Linked DNA regions of Neodiprion lecontei. The protein of the gene in region 1 interacts with the protein of each later gene in a biochemical or structural test. Links are inferred from orthologs where the notes say so. Each region holds a gene or a part of one and is shown on either strand. Other genes may lie near its edges.

Region 1 (6,665 bases):
TAAAGACCAGACAGTTAGTCTTGGCTGTCTATAAACATCGGCTCCCAAAACCTACTCAGCCTTGGTACTGAAATACCTTGTCACTAAAAAATTGATTTTCAAAGTATTTTATTTGATTTCATTAAATGTTAGTCGTTTACTCTTGATTTATTATTTTTAGGAAATATGCTTTGGTTTTCAGGTTTTTTTTTTTTTTGTTTTTTTAATTTACTATTTCGTTTATGATTTTTTTTTTTTAATTCTTCCAAAGTTTGTTAAGGCTAGTCCGTAATTATCTGAAACAGGGGTCTCGTTTATGTTTTGAGGCAAATCAGCTTTTTTCTACCTTGTACCTACAAAATTTTAGTTTCATTTTTATATGAAATATTAAAATTTATTGTATTATACGTATACACATCTATATACACTTTTACAAAAAAATATAATATTTTAATCTACATACCGTATTACATAAAGTAAAAAATATGGAACATTTGCTACTTGTATATTCATCAAATGTTTTAAGATGGAAATATTTTAATATAGAATGGATAATGTTAGCCTTAAAGAAAATATTCTTTGTTGACAGTATGTAGGTTTTTTCATCATATCAACTCGATTAGACATTAACTGCCAATATATACAAACTGTTCTATATTAAGGTATTTTCAAATTACTCTATCACTAAAGCAGTTCTCTAAAATATGTAGGGGCATACATTCTTGTGTGCACATAGGCTGCAATGCAATAATAATATTGTGATGCTCACAAAGCACATAACACAAGTTACAAGAAAAAAAGAAAATTGTAATGTTTAACATTTCATGTGATTTTCGAAACTGTTATATTTTTTATTTCCTGCCAATTGTTTAATTTGTAACGTTGTTCTTTGTTCTTTTTCAATAAAGTAAGCAAACCAAGTGGGTCTCTATTCATTTCTACAATTGTTTTACACACGAGCTAATGATTTTCAGCAAATCATGGTTGATTCAGATTTATACAATACATGGAGTGTAGAATTCTTGAAATGTAAGAAAATAGACCAACTGAAATGAAATCTTAGCCTTGCTTTCTTTTACAACACCAGCTCATGACGCATATCTATGCAAGCTAAATTATTGTAATTTAAAAACATTTAGAGAAGGCATTGAAAATGTACGAAGTGAAAAAAAAAAATATAACTTGGGTAGTTCCAAAAAAAAAAAAAATTAAATAAAATGACGCGAATGGTACAGAGTAAATGAATACTTATGTACGTCATTTAATAACGTTTAATTAAAGCATAAGTACCTACAATCATTTATATCGCTTCAATTAAGTGGATATTATTTGAAAACTACAGAGCAATTAGATCAATTAAAACAAAACGGAAAGTGATAATAAATAAATTAACACAGCGTATATGCAGTGGTCAAAGCATAAATAAGTAATAATTATGGTATGATCTCGATGCGATCTTATTGGCTGGGAACTCTATACTTCAAGAAAGAGGTAATAGAGAATGTAGGTAAATTTTGATCTGTGAGACTTATTTAGAATCGTTCTGTAACTCTAAAACATGTTCTATCGGCTTTGGTTTGCCATCTTCTCCAATTCGACATGGCTGTACAATTCCTTCCCTAAAAAATAAAAATATTTTTTCAACGGGAGTCATTTCTATGTTATCGTATTTAAGAACTGCATCACTCGAGATATGCCCAGAGAACAATAAATTCAATTTTCGGGCTATTGCAGTAAAGCATAGTCTAAAAATCAAAACTGCCATTGTCCCAAACAAGACTTCAATGTTATCGAATAATTCTATTGGACATAACTTGAGGAGCACCCTTTTACTTCAAATGGAAAAATAACTTCATTTGTCAGTACCTCGTCAATTTATCCATTAGATTAGCAAGCTGAACAGCCTCATATTCCTTTCGTTCCTCACTCATTCCTTCCAAAGGATTAGGCTTTGGACTTTCGTAACAGCCAGTTATTGGATTAATTCTGTAAGAAAAATCGAAGTGTTATACATTCTGCTTGGGTACATGTTGAGTGCCAGTCGAATATCATTATCTTTTGATATACTCACTGTTCCTTGTATTTAATGTATTCATCTGTGTCACTGTCCTCTGATTCGGATGAATAATTTGTTTTTGGTTGACGACCGCCGAGAAGTCCTTTATTTGCGAACATTCCAGCTGCATTTCCGTACCCCGTGTATTTTACCATTCTAGCAACTGATGTAAGTAGTAAATGTAATTTATTCGATTTCCAATTTTATTTTTCTTATTTTATTTTTTGGAACGTAATAAAAGAAGTAAACGTCTTCAATTAAACAACGTGACACAATTGGCAAATATGCTTACCACTTTCTTTGCAAAGTATAAAAATCAGCTCTGCCACTAAATCTCTAAGGTCTGTTTGTGGATTAGTTAATTGCTTACACAACTTTGCTCTAAGCGTTATACCTTCCTCAGGTCGTTTCATAACATCTTTCAATGGTGGAAGTATCTATAGAATTGAGTTAAACAATAATTAGAATTTGTGTTCTTTCAATTTTTTTCGTAGGTATTCTCATCACTCAAGTAATTTCGTACCTGTAATCGAATGTACTTTCGAGCCAACCGTTGAGCTCTGGCGAGTCTTATTAGAACCGTAGCAATTGGTGAGATATTTTCTGTCAGATCAATTTCAGAATCTAGACGTTTGTTCAAAAATTTCAATAGCGTAGAAACTGCCCTCATATCCATGTTGTGATAGACTAGTTTCACATTATCGCTCTGCACGGGTGGAATTAATGTGCTATACGAATTTATTGGTACTACTGTTAACAAATTCACAGCATGCCTGAAATATACAATTGGAACCAACTTGAATTTTTTTTACAAAGTATAGCAAATGTTGGAAGTACAAAAAACCTCAAAAAACCTGTGTCAGTCTAACTGAATAAATTCCAAACGTTAAAGTGTTCCAGTGTATATTGACACCACCTTTCTATGATTGGATTGTTTATTATTTTGTAATCAATTGTGTAGAAATACATAAAACAACAAGAAAATTTATCTCTATTTATAGTAAATTGTAATAACTCACGATATGAGTTCATCCTGATTTTCAATAGTTTCGCATATCAGTAGCTCGTACAAAATAGATACTAATTTTTCATTCTTTTCCTCTTCCATCTGTTCATCTTCGGCTCGTATGTAAAGGTTGAATAAAACTTTCAAAACTTCACACGCAATAGCATGATCATTGACCTGTTAAATGAAGTGAGGAATTAAAAATCTGAGTTGTATTTAAATACAAATTCACGACTAAATTTCCAGCTAGGATCAATACCTTGAGAACAGATTGTGGCCTATTTCTAAGCTGCTCAGAAGTTTCTTCCAGCATCTCAATAAGATGGACTTCTGCGTTCAATTCAGTTTTAACTTTACTTCTAGTATGTATACATAGAGCGGTAACTAAAAAAAGTAGTCTAAGGTGAAACAGTCTGCCTTCGTGTGTCAGTTCGCTTCTTTGCTTGCTCAATCGTTGAACTGTTTGGGAGAGGCAAGATGATGTTTGTATCACAAGGGTCCTTGCCTGTTGACTGTTGTATATCAAATTACATAGCACTTTTAAAGTTTCCACGACAGCTGAAACAACAAAATAATAGCATATTAATCTACACTTTGACTTAGGGCATAAATTTATTTTCTGCAAATATAATGTTACTTGACAAATTTTAGGTCTTTACTCAAATTAGCTAAGGTAACGGAGTGATACTCACTTTCAGAATTGGAAGCAACATTTTCATTGTCAAGGTTATTGTCTAAGTAGGCAAATCTTAATAGAGTTGCTATTCTTGATTCTGTCACCAACTCATCAATGTCAGTTTTATCTCGGCTGCGAATAAATGAATGTTACTTGGTATATCCCGATAAGAAGAATTTTAAATACATTACTTGGTTTATAACAGGAATAGAGTTAAACCTGAGTAATCTGAGTGCACTTAGACACAATTGATGTGTAGATTTATACTCCTCGTTATTGAGGGTATCGAATAACTGTGTCCAAATTCTGTTTCTCAGATTATTTTCATTAAGCTCGGTAAAATTCCTCTGTGTTTCATGCTGTAATAAATAATCAAAATAATTCTATATTTTTAGCAACTGGCAAAATGATCGACAAGAAGCAAATAGGTGTGGTTGTTGAGTTTAATAATTCAAATTTATTAGAACGAGGTATGAAGGTACTTGTTGAAATATTCAGTAGAAACAGTATTCTTTTTTGTAATAAAGGATTGTTGAAGAGTTTGGACATAACGAATGAACAAATTCAATCTAATCGACAATTAGTAATTGAGTTAGCGAAAAAAAAATTAAAGAGCTACGACACCTGTAGGACAGGCTGCCAAAGAGCTGTTAAGATAACCTCGCCTGGGCGAAATTATTTTATAATTTACCTCAGCAATGAATTGACTCAAATTTTGAGTTAGTTCATCGGAACTCCCAGAGAAAATATCAAATTTCACAACTCCCATGTTCTGTATCATCCTTCTCGAACTGTCAGTGACGTATAGGTTTATTGTATAGTATACAATGCCGCAATTACACAGCGTTCGTTGTATTGTTGAAAAGGTATAATATCGAAACTGCGTTAACACTTGATTACATTATAGAGCACTTAGAATATGTTCATGAATTTGGGGTGTATCGTATATTAGAACGCGAAACTTGCAAACTGTAATTCGGACTTCGGTCCCGATACGTGCTTCTACAGAAGCCCTGCGAAGCGTGTGGCTATAGGTATGTATTTACATGTAATACATTTGCGACTGTGCGTGACAGTCGTCACCGATGCCTATGTGTGCCTATGTACCAACAAATATCAAGGTTCCGCCTGCTTTCGTTGTTAAATATCCGCCAAAGCAACCGAGAGATGGCGTCGCCACCTTACCACATTCCAATGTTCGTATGCGCGATGGATGAAGGCTGAAGGCAATTGGAGTACACTATAGTTTTCGCTCTGCGCTGTGATTGGCTGACGGTGCTTCCTGAACCAATCGGCGCGCAGAGGGAGAGAGATAGAGAAAGATGTGATGAGTTTCGACCGTGGTTTCTACCGGCCCGGCACAGCGTTGGAACAGTCTATGGTTGGAACACGTCGGGTGTTTAGGATAACCTGAAAATTTGAAAGCGCACAAATATCGATCATTGATATGATATTCGCCGAGGACGACGGTTCGACGTCCGCTCCGTATCAGAATGTCGTCGCGGAAAAAGAACGAAGAATCTGTAAAAACTGTCGAACCTTCGGAAAAAGAGGCAAAGGAAAATACGGCAGCAGTGGAAGATCCTTCTAACAGATCAAGTCGGTCCTTTTGGTTTCTCTGCGCCTTGATAGCATGTGTCAAACTTCTTCTATCTCCCACATAGTAAGTACATTCCCTCTTGCTATTTTTTTCTTTATGGACATCTCATTATTCAACAATTGTACGCTTTAGTCACTCGACGGACTTTGAAGTGCACCGAAATTGGCTTGCAATAACTCACAGCTTGCCGATTAAAGAATGGTATGTCAATGCAAAATCCGAGTGGACCTTGGACTACCCGCCTTTTTTTGCCTGGTTCGAATACTTTCTCAGTAATTTTGCGAAGTCTGTTGATCCGAAAATGCTGAATGTGAACAATCTTGGGTATGCGTCTGTGGCAACAAAAATATTTCAACGTTCGACTGTCATTGTTACGGACTTTGTATATGCATATGGTGTTAAAGAGTAAGTTTATTAAGATGAATTTTGTAACAGTTCAACAAATGTCATGGACACGAGCTTTTAGATGACATGTAAACGCCGACTAAATTGTGGCAAAATTCTCCTTTAATGTGAAGAAATGTTCTTTTTAAATCTCAGACTAAGCCAAACGCTTCACCAGGATGAAAAAAGCTTTGCCACGTTGATAGTTTTAACTTTGTGCAACGTTGGACTACTGATCGTTGATCACATTCATTTCCAGTACAATGGATTTCTGCTCGGTGTACTTATGTTGTCTTTGTCCAAAGTTACCAGGATTTCGAAGGAGGTAAATTATCGTCAGTACTGTTCTATCTTTGACTGTGGTATTTGCAGCTACCTTCTGAATTGATTAATCGTTTGCAATGTTATACAAGTTATTGACAGAGGTTATTGTTACTAAAATACACTACTTTTCAGAGCCAGGTTCTTCAGGGAGCATTCTGGTTTACTGTTCTCCTCAATTTAAAACACATATACGTATATGTAGCTCCAGCATTCATTGTGTGGTTGCTGAGAATGTACTGTTTCAAAAATAGACAATGTCTAGTTAGAATTTTAATACTTGGAAGTATCGTTATTCTAACTACAACATTGTCCTTTGGGCCATTCATAAGTCAATTACCACAGGTAAAAAATTTCGAAAAATATACATACTTCTATACCCTCGTAGAGCTCAATCATTTCTAAATTTAGAATTCTTTGACAGAACCCAACATACAGAAGTACAACACGACAAAATAAAGCTTTCAGTACAAATAAATATCGTGTTTAACTTTATTCAGGTAATAACAAGATTGTTTCCGTTCAAAAGGGGCTTAGTCCACGCTTACTGGGCAGCTAATGCTTGGGCCCTTTACACAGGATGTGATAAAGTACTGTCAATAATTTGGAAGCAATTTGGTTGGTCGACAGCATCTGGTGCAGC
Region 2 (5,286 bases), on another chromosome or scaffold:
ACTTCCCGTGTAAATTATTATACACTACGACGAGTACAACGTACGTATGTGCAGTACTGCCAACTTTTCACGACAGTAATAGGTATGACTCTCTAATTAATTCATCTATTTACATTTGTTGTAGATAAGGTACGCATGAATAGTGAATTAGAATTAAAAAAACTTCCGCTACAGTCGAATTTAATTCTTCCTTATTTTCGACTCCCATCTTACTACGTATAACATATACATATGTACGTAGGTATAATCCTCACCGCACGTATTATACCGCATTATATACCTACATCGCTGCGGAAGAGATGCGTTAATTTAAATTTGACCCGAAATTTCCGGACTTCAGAGACCGTTATACACGTATCTTGCCCCGCTTCGTTAAATACTGTACATACATGCACGTAACATGTGTGCATTTGAAATTTATCTACCTCGTACGTTGCTTTCGTTTCTTTTGGTTTTTTTCTAACCGCTTAACAATTATTCAAGACTCGTTACGCGAACGTCAGCGATTCTCTTGTAAGAACGCGAGATACGATTCTCGCAGTTGATAACACACATGCCATTAAATTCACGAGGATGAACCCTAGCATCCAGAATCCACAGCGAAACGTTCTAATGTTCATTCGAATAAGGTAGCGAAGACCGATAGTCAAAATTTCGTGAAAAAACCTTGAACCTCCGATACTTTTATAGAATTAAGAGGATGAAACTAAAATGCATTTTTCCATTTCCAAAAAGTTTAACTCTGGCTGCTAGCTTCAGCTTCTTCTTGAATAAATCGTGAATGAAACAATCCATTTCGAACGGAATCTAATCGATAATAACGAGATTCTAATCGAAATCAAACTCGAGTTAAATTTTCTTTCGTGCTCCCTAACGTGCCTTATTATTGTAATTAATATACCTACGTAAAAAGAAAGGCGTGACGAAAGTAGCAGGAAAAAAAAGTCGTCGAAAGAACACGCAACGTCGGGCATGCAGCAGCTTGAACGAGGAACAATTCGTTTTTCACGAAGTTAAAAAATCGACCGCCGAGGTTTTCCTTCATTACACATTTGAATCTCGGAGGCGGCGTACAACAACGGTACGAAACGTATATACATACTTGTGTCGGACATGTACGCACGGGGGTGGGTATTTATTTTAAGAAATATGAGCGTGTATGTAGCAGCGAACTCGAAAGCTGCCGCAGAGGCGGACCCGATCTCCGGATTCTCCGGCAGGCACTTATTCATCATGCTTCATTGGTGGGGGTCGCCGGCTGCCGATGGATACAGCAGTGAAAAGCAGCGGCAACTCTGCGAAGAGCGAACCAGCAAACTAGCGATTCTCCGTTTCGTTCCCGGTCCTGAACGACGAGAGCGGGGCACCGCGGTAAAAATCCCGTTTTAATCTACACCGTATCTATCTACTATCTACCGCAAATAATTACGCACCGACTACGCGGCGCCGCGTCGACGTCCTTTCATTGTCGGTTTTCCTCTACTTGTTCGCGCGAATCCGCAGATCGAATACAAAATTGTTAACGAGGATGTAACCGCGTTGCGCGACATCTACATCTTCACAATAAACTGCATGCTCTGTTCTTATGCATCGTATTACAGATCTATGCAACCTATGCTCTTCGAATAGTTATTTTCAAATTTGAATTTCGAACGTTCGACCGCGGCTTGCTTCGAGCCAAACGTCAACAGCAGACGATCGTTCTCGCGCTTCGTTCGCTCAACGACGATTACGATTCGCTACGCTTTTCGAATACTTGTTTCCAAATTTGAATTTCGAACGTTCGACCGCGGCTAGCTTCGAGCGGAACAGCAACAGCAGACGATCCTCCTCGCGCTTCATTCGCTCAACGACAATACTGGTTCGCCGAAATATCGCCCCGAAATTCACACTGGGTCTGCTCGGAGCACGTGAAGGCGTGCACATCGAAGGTACCTGCGAGCTATTGACTCCGAGTCCCGAGCGGGCGCGAACGGGAAACGAGACGCGGGGACGGAAAGACGGTGATAAGCCGACATCGCGAGGGATCGAGCAGCGGCGGTGGCACTGCACGCACCCTCCTACGCACGCCACCAGCGAAGCGGCGGCCGCAAAGCAATTGACTCGCCTCTCTCCCCCGTCCGAGGAGCGGAACGCCGCCCGCGTTTGATTGGAGTGCCATATTCGAGCCTAGGGAGTCGGCGGCGGTTGTTTCCCTTATTTTTTCATTTTCATTTTCTCTCTCTCTCTCGCTCTCTCCCTCTGTCTCTTTCCCTCTCTCTCTCTACCCTTTTCGTCATCACTTACTTTCGAAGCCACCCCGCGAACTCGGAGACCGATGAAACGGCTTCCTCCTCGCACGTCTCCTGCTTCCTATGTCCAAGGGTGGTTAAACCGCGCCGTTGCAGCACCGCGGAACTCGGACATTCATACACCCTGGACTTTCGACTCCGTCGGATCGCCTGGCTGCCTCTGCCTTTAATCGTATCACACTGCCTTTGCGGGTCGTTAACTCCCTGCTTTATTCTCGAATGATGGATTTTGAATTTCGATTATTATCCCCGTAACGATGCGTTCTCGCTTGTATTGTACCGTTTTTTTTTTTTTTTTTTGCCGATAATTATATCACCGTGATATCGCGACGAGAGAATTATTGGGGATTTTTTTTCGCGCACTCCCGGTCACTTGTATTTTCCGATACTATGTATTTGATCGATAATTTGAGAATCGTAAGCCCCGGCACAGCCCCGTCTCTCAGGAGGTGGGTTGGTACTTTTTACACAATCCAAACGGGGGGTATACGCTCTGCCGTTTCTCCTTACGCGTTTTTTGAAAAAAAAATTTTTATTTTTTTTATATGTATATATATACTCTGAATCGTTCACCGGCGACGCGCGGTCACTTCTATTTTTCTTCCAAAACTACGAGTTGATATCACTTCTCCCTCTGGCTCTCTATTCTCTCTGGATCTACTCCGCCACCTCTTCGCCGTTTGATTGATGCATAAACACTCCCGAATACTCTTCCGTTTATATATCGTCCCGCGCGATTCGTCCACCTTTCTTAGGTGCCTTCTTCGCTTTCTAACAGCGAAATCGAGCTACGCCCGGGCTGTGCCTTCGTCGTGACTCTAGCTCTCCTCCCCCTGCGGGAACGCGATACAAATTTTTCTAAAACCGATCGAAAAACGTCTTTTGACAGCGGCAGGCTGGACGCGTACTGGCAGCTACCTCGACGCCAGCGACCTCTCGCCCCGCCCGAACCTTCGCTCGCTGCTGGGGACGAGCCGGCCGCCCGATCAATCCCACGCACCAGCCCACGGGCCCCGCGTCTAGGCAGAGGACCGAGATCCTGTTTGCTGGAGATTCAAACTACAGCCTGGCGACATCTGGCGTCGCTTGCCCGAACCAACGGTCGCCACTTCGCTCGGCCGGTAACGACGAGAGTTACGGTACTGAAATACTGCCGGAAAGATAGGACGCGAAGATTTGAAACGGGGCGGGGGGAAGGCTGACTGCTGGAATTTTTAAGACTTTTGATTGCTTGCTTTCAAATTATATCCGTCTTGGCAGACGAGTAAAGTATTAGTTGGTATGCTTCTTCGAAGGAAAACAAAATTTGCGTTATTTTTAAATAACGCAATAAAAAATATCGTTGTTCAACGAAACGTGTCACGAATTGTCTTCTTTTGCAACTTGATTATGGAGGCTGTATGCATACATCTCAAATCCTAAATTGCTGTGAGGGATATACGTGGTAGAACGAAACGATTCACGTTTGGCAAAATGCCAATATTCATTCACAAAGTTGAAACTCATTGTCGAGAATTATTCAAATATTCAGTCTTAACGGTGAATATATAGACATATATATATATACGTATGTACACCACAGTATCCGGTGATAGTTTGTTTTTGTGTGTATACTATCGCTTCTTGGCATGACATCGTGATGTATTTCTTATTTTATTCTATCATTAATTACTTAAATTTCTTATTTCTTTCGCGGCTGAATACGAGAACTTTTTACTGCGTTCAATGAACGTGTAATAATGCAACGACGATCCCGAATCTTAGTTATGTACAAAAGAAAAACCTGCGACTTATCTCGTTGTAAACTGATCAAATTTACAGTTCAATAAAACCTGAATTTAATTATTCATTCATTTATTTCCGTTTACACACGGGTAAAAATTATGCCACGATATAATAATGTATCAACCTATTAAAATTCTACATGTATGCCGTGCATGTGATATTCTGCCTGACAGACCTTGATCAACACTTGCTATTTTGCACGAACGTACTTAATCTCCTCCACCTCCGCCTCCTCCTTCTCCTCTTCCTCCACTTCCTTCTTCTCGCCGAACTTTTGTAACGTACAACGTGTGTGTGTGTGTGTGTGAGTATAAATAGCAAGATCTTTTATACAATTGCCTAATAAATAATAGTTGGCGTATCAAAGTAACGACCGCTTGCAGTATAAAGATCGTATATGTGTAAAGTTTGGATTCAAAATGAAAAGAATATTGGAAGCTGCACGGTTTGATCAAGGCTGTATAATTCGAATTGTAGATGGTAAATAAGAGAGAGAAATAGAAAAATACGAAATACAAAATTATCAAGCCTAAAGTAACGCCAGTGAATATGTGAAATTACGGATGCGGAGATAATTGAAACAGAGTTTCATAGTTTTTACATAATAATTTGATTATCGCAGACTCATGTACTGTATACGTATAATATATTTATGAATTTTTGTATGCATAGGCGAATCAGTATATGTATAGAATATATATATATGTATATATTATTGCAATATATGCGCTTTTTTCCACTGTACTTTATTGAAAATAATATATATATATTTATTATTAATATTTATATATATATATTATTTATTATGTATCTATGTATATATTTTGGTTATTATCAAACAACACATGACATTCCTGATATCATATTTACATCGAGTGTCTATTACAATTACTCAGTTTAATGTATTATCATATCGTACAATAGATATTATTACATAGTTATAGGTCATTTAAAAATTTGTGAAATATGTTAAAAGTGCCCAACTCTACATGTCGTATAAGGTGTGTATATATATATATATATATATATATATATATATATTATATATTATATATAGTATATGTATTAAAGGGAAGGCTCAGTGTTACGTTCGAATGTCAAACTGTATCCAATCAATGATGATCGATATACGATAATTAATTATGTATTTCGGAACTGCATCAATTTGTTTTCTTTTTCTTTTATAATATACAATCTGCTCGACCGCAAC

The links.
Region 2: of the proteins of synembryn-A (region 1) and guanine nucleotide-binding protein G(o) subunit alpha, one has a biochemical effect on the other in vitro, tested with the Caenorhabditis elegans proteins (2 studies listed by BioGRID). The link is inferred for Neodiprion lecontei from reciprocal best matches to the Caenorhabditis elegans genes ric-8 and goa-1.

The regions. Positions count from the first base shown.
Region 1 is NC_060265.1:6,195,243-6,201,907, reverse strand, and holds synembryn-A, read right to left. Parts: upstream 4,795-6,665; 5' UTR 4,499-4,794; coding exon 4,409-4,498; intron 4,077-4,408; coding exon 3,937-4,076; intron 3,850-3,936; coding exon 3,734-3,849; intron 3,600-3,733; coding exon 3,301-3,599; intron 3,219-3,300; coding exon 3,055-3,218; intron 2,809-3,054; coding exon 2,559-2,808; intron 2,473-2,558; coding exon 2,328-2,472; intron 2,199-2,327; coding exon 2,051-2,198; intron 1,966-2,050; coding exon 1,846-1,965; intron 1,599-1,845; coding exon 1,508-1,598; 3' UTR 593-1,507; downstream 1-592. Other genes in the region: probable dolichyl pyrophosphate Glc1Man9GlcNAc2 alpha-1,3-glucosyltransferase, read left to right, coding at 5,211-5,380, 5,450-5,722, 5,858-6,026, 6,158-6,367, 6,523-6,665. UniProt on the Caenorhabditis elegans protein: Chaperone that specifically binds and folds some, but not all, nascent G alpha proteins prior to G protein heterotrimer formation, promoting their stability and activity.
Region 2 is NC_060260.1:39,891,438-39,896,723, forward strand, and holds the start of guanine nucleotide-binding protein G(o) subunit alpha, read right to left. Parts: upstream 3,254-5,286; 5' UTR 2,287-3,253; intron 1-2,286. UniProt on the Caenorhabditis elegans protein: Guanine nucleotide-binding proteins (G proteins) are involved as modulators or transducers in various transmembrane signaling systems. In the 1-cell embryo, probably together with gpa-16, controls nuclear rotation and spindle elongation during mitosis.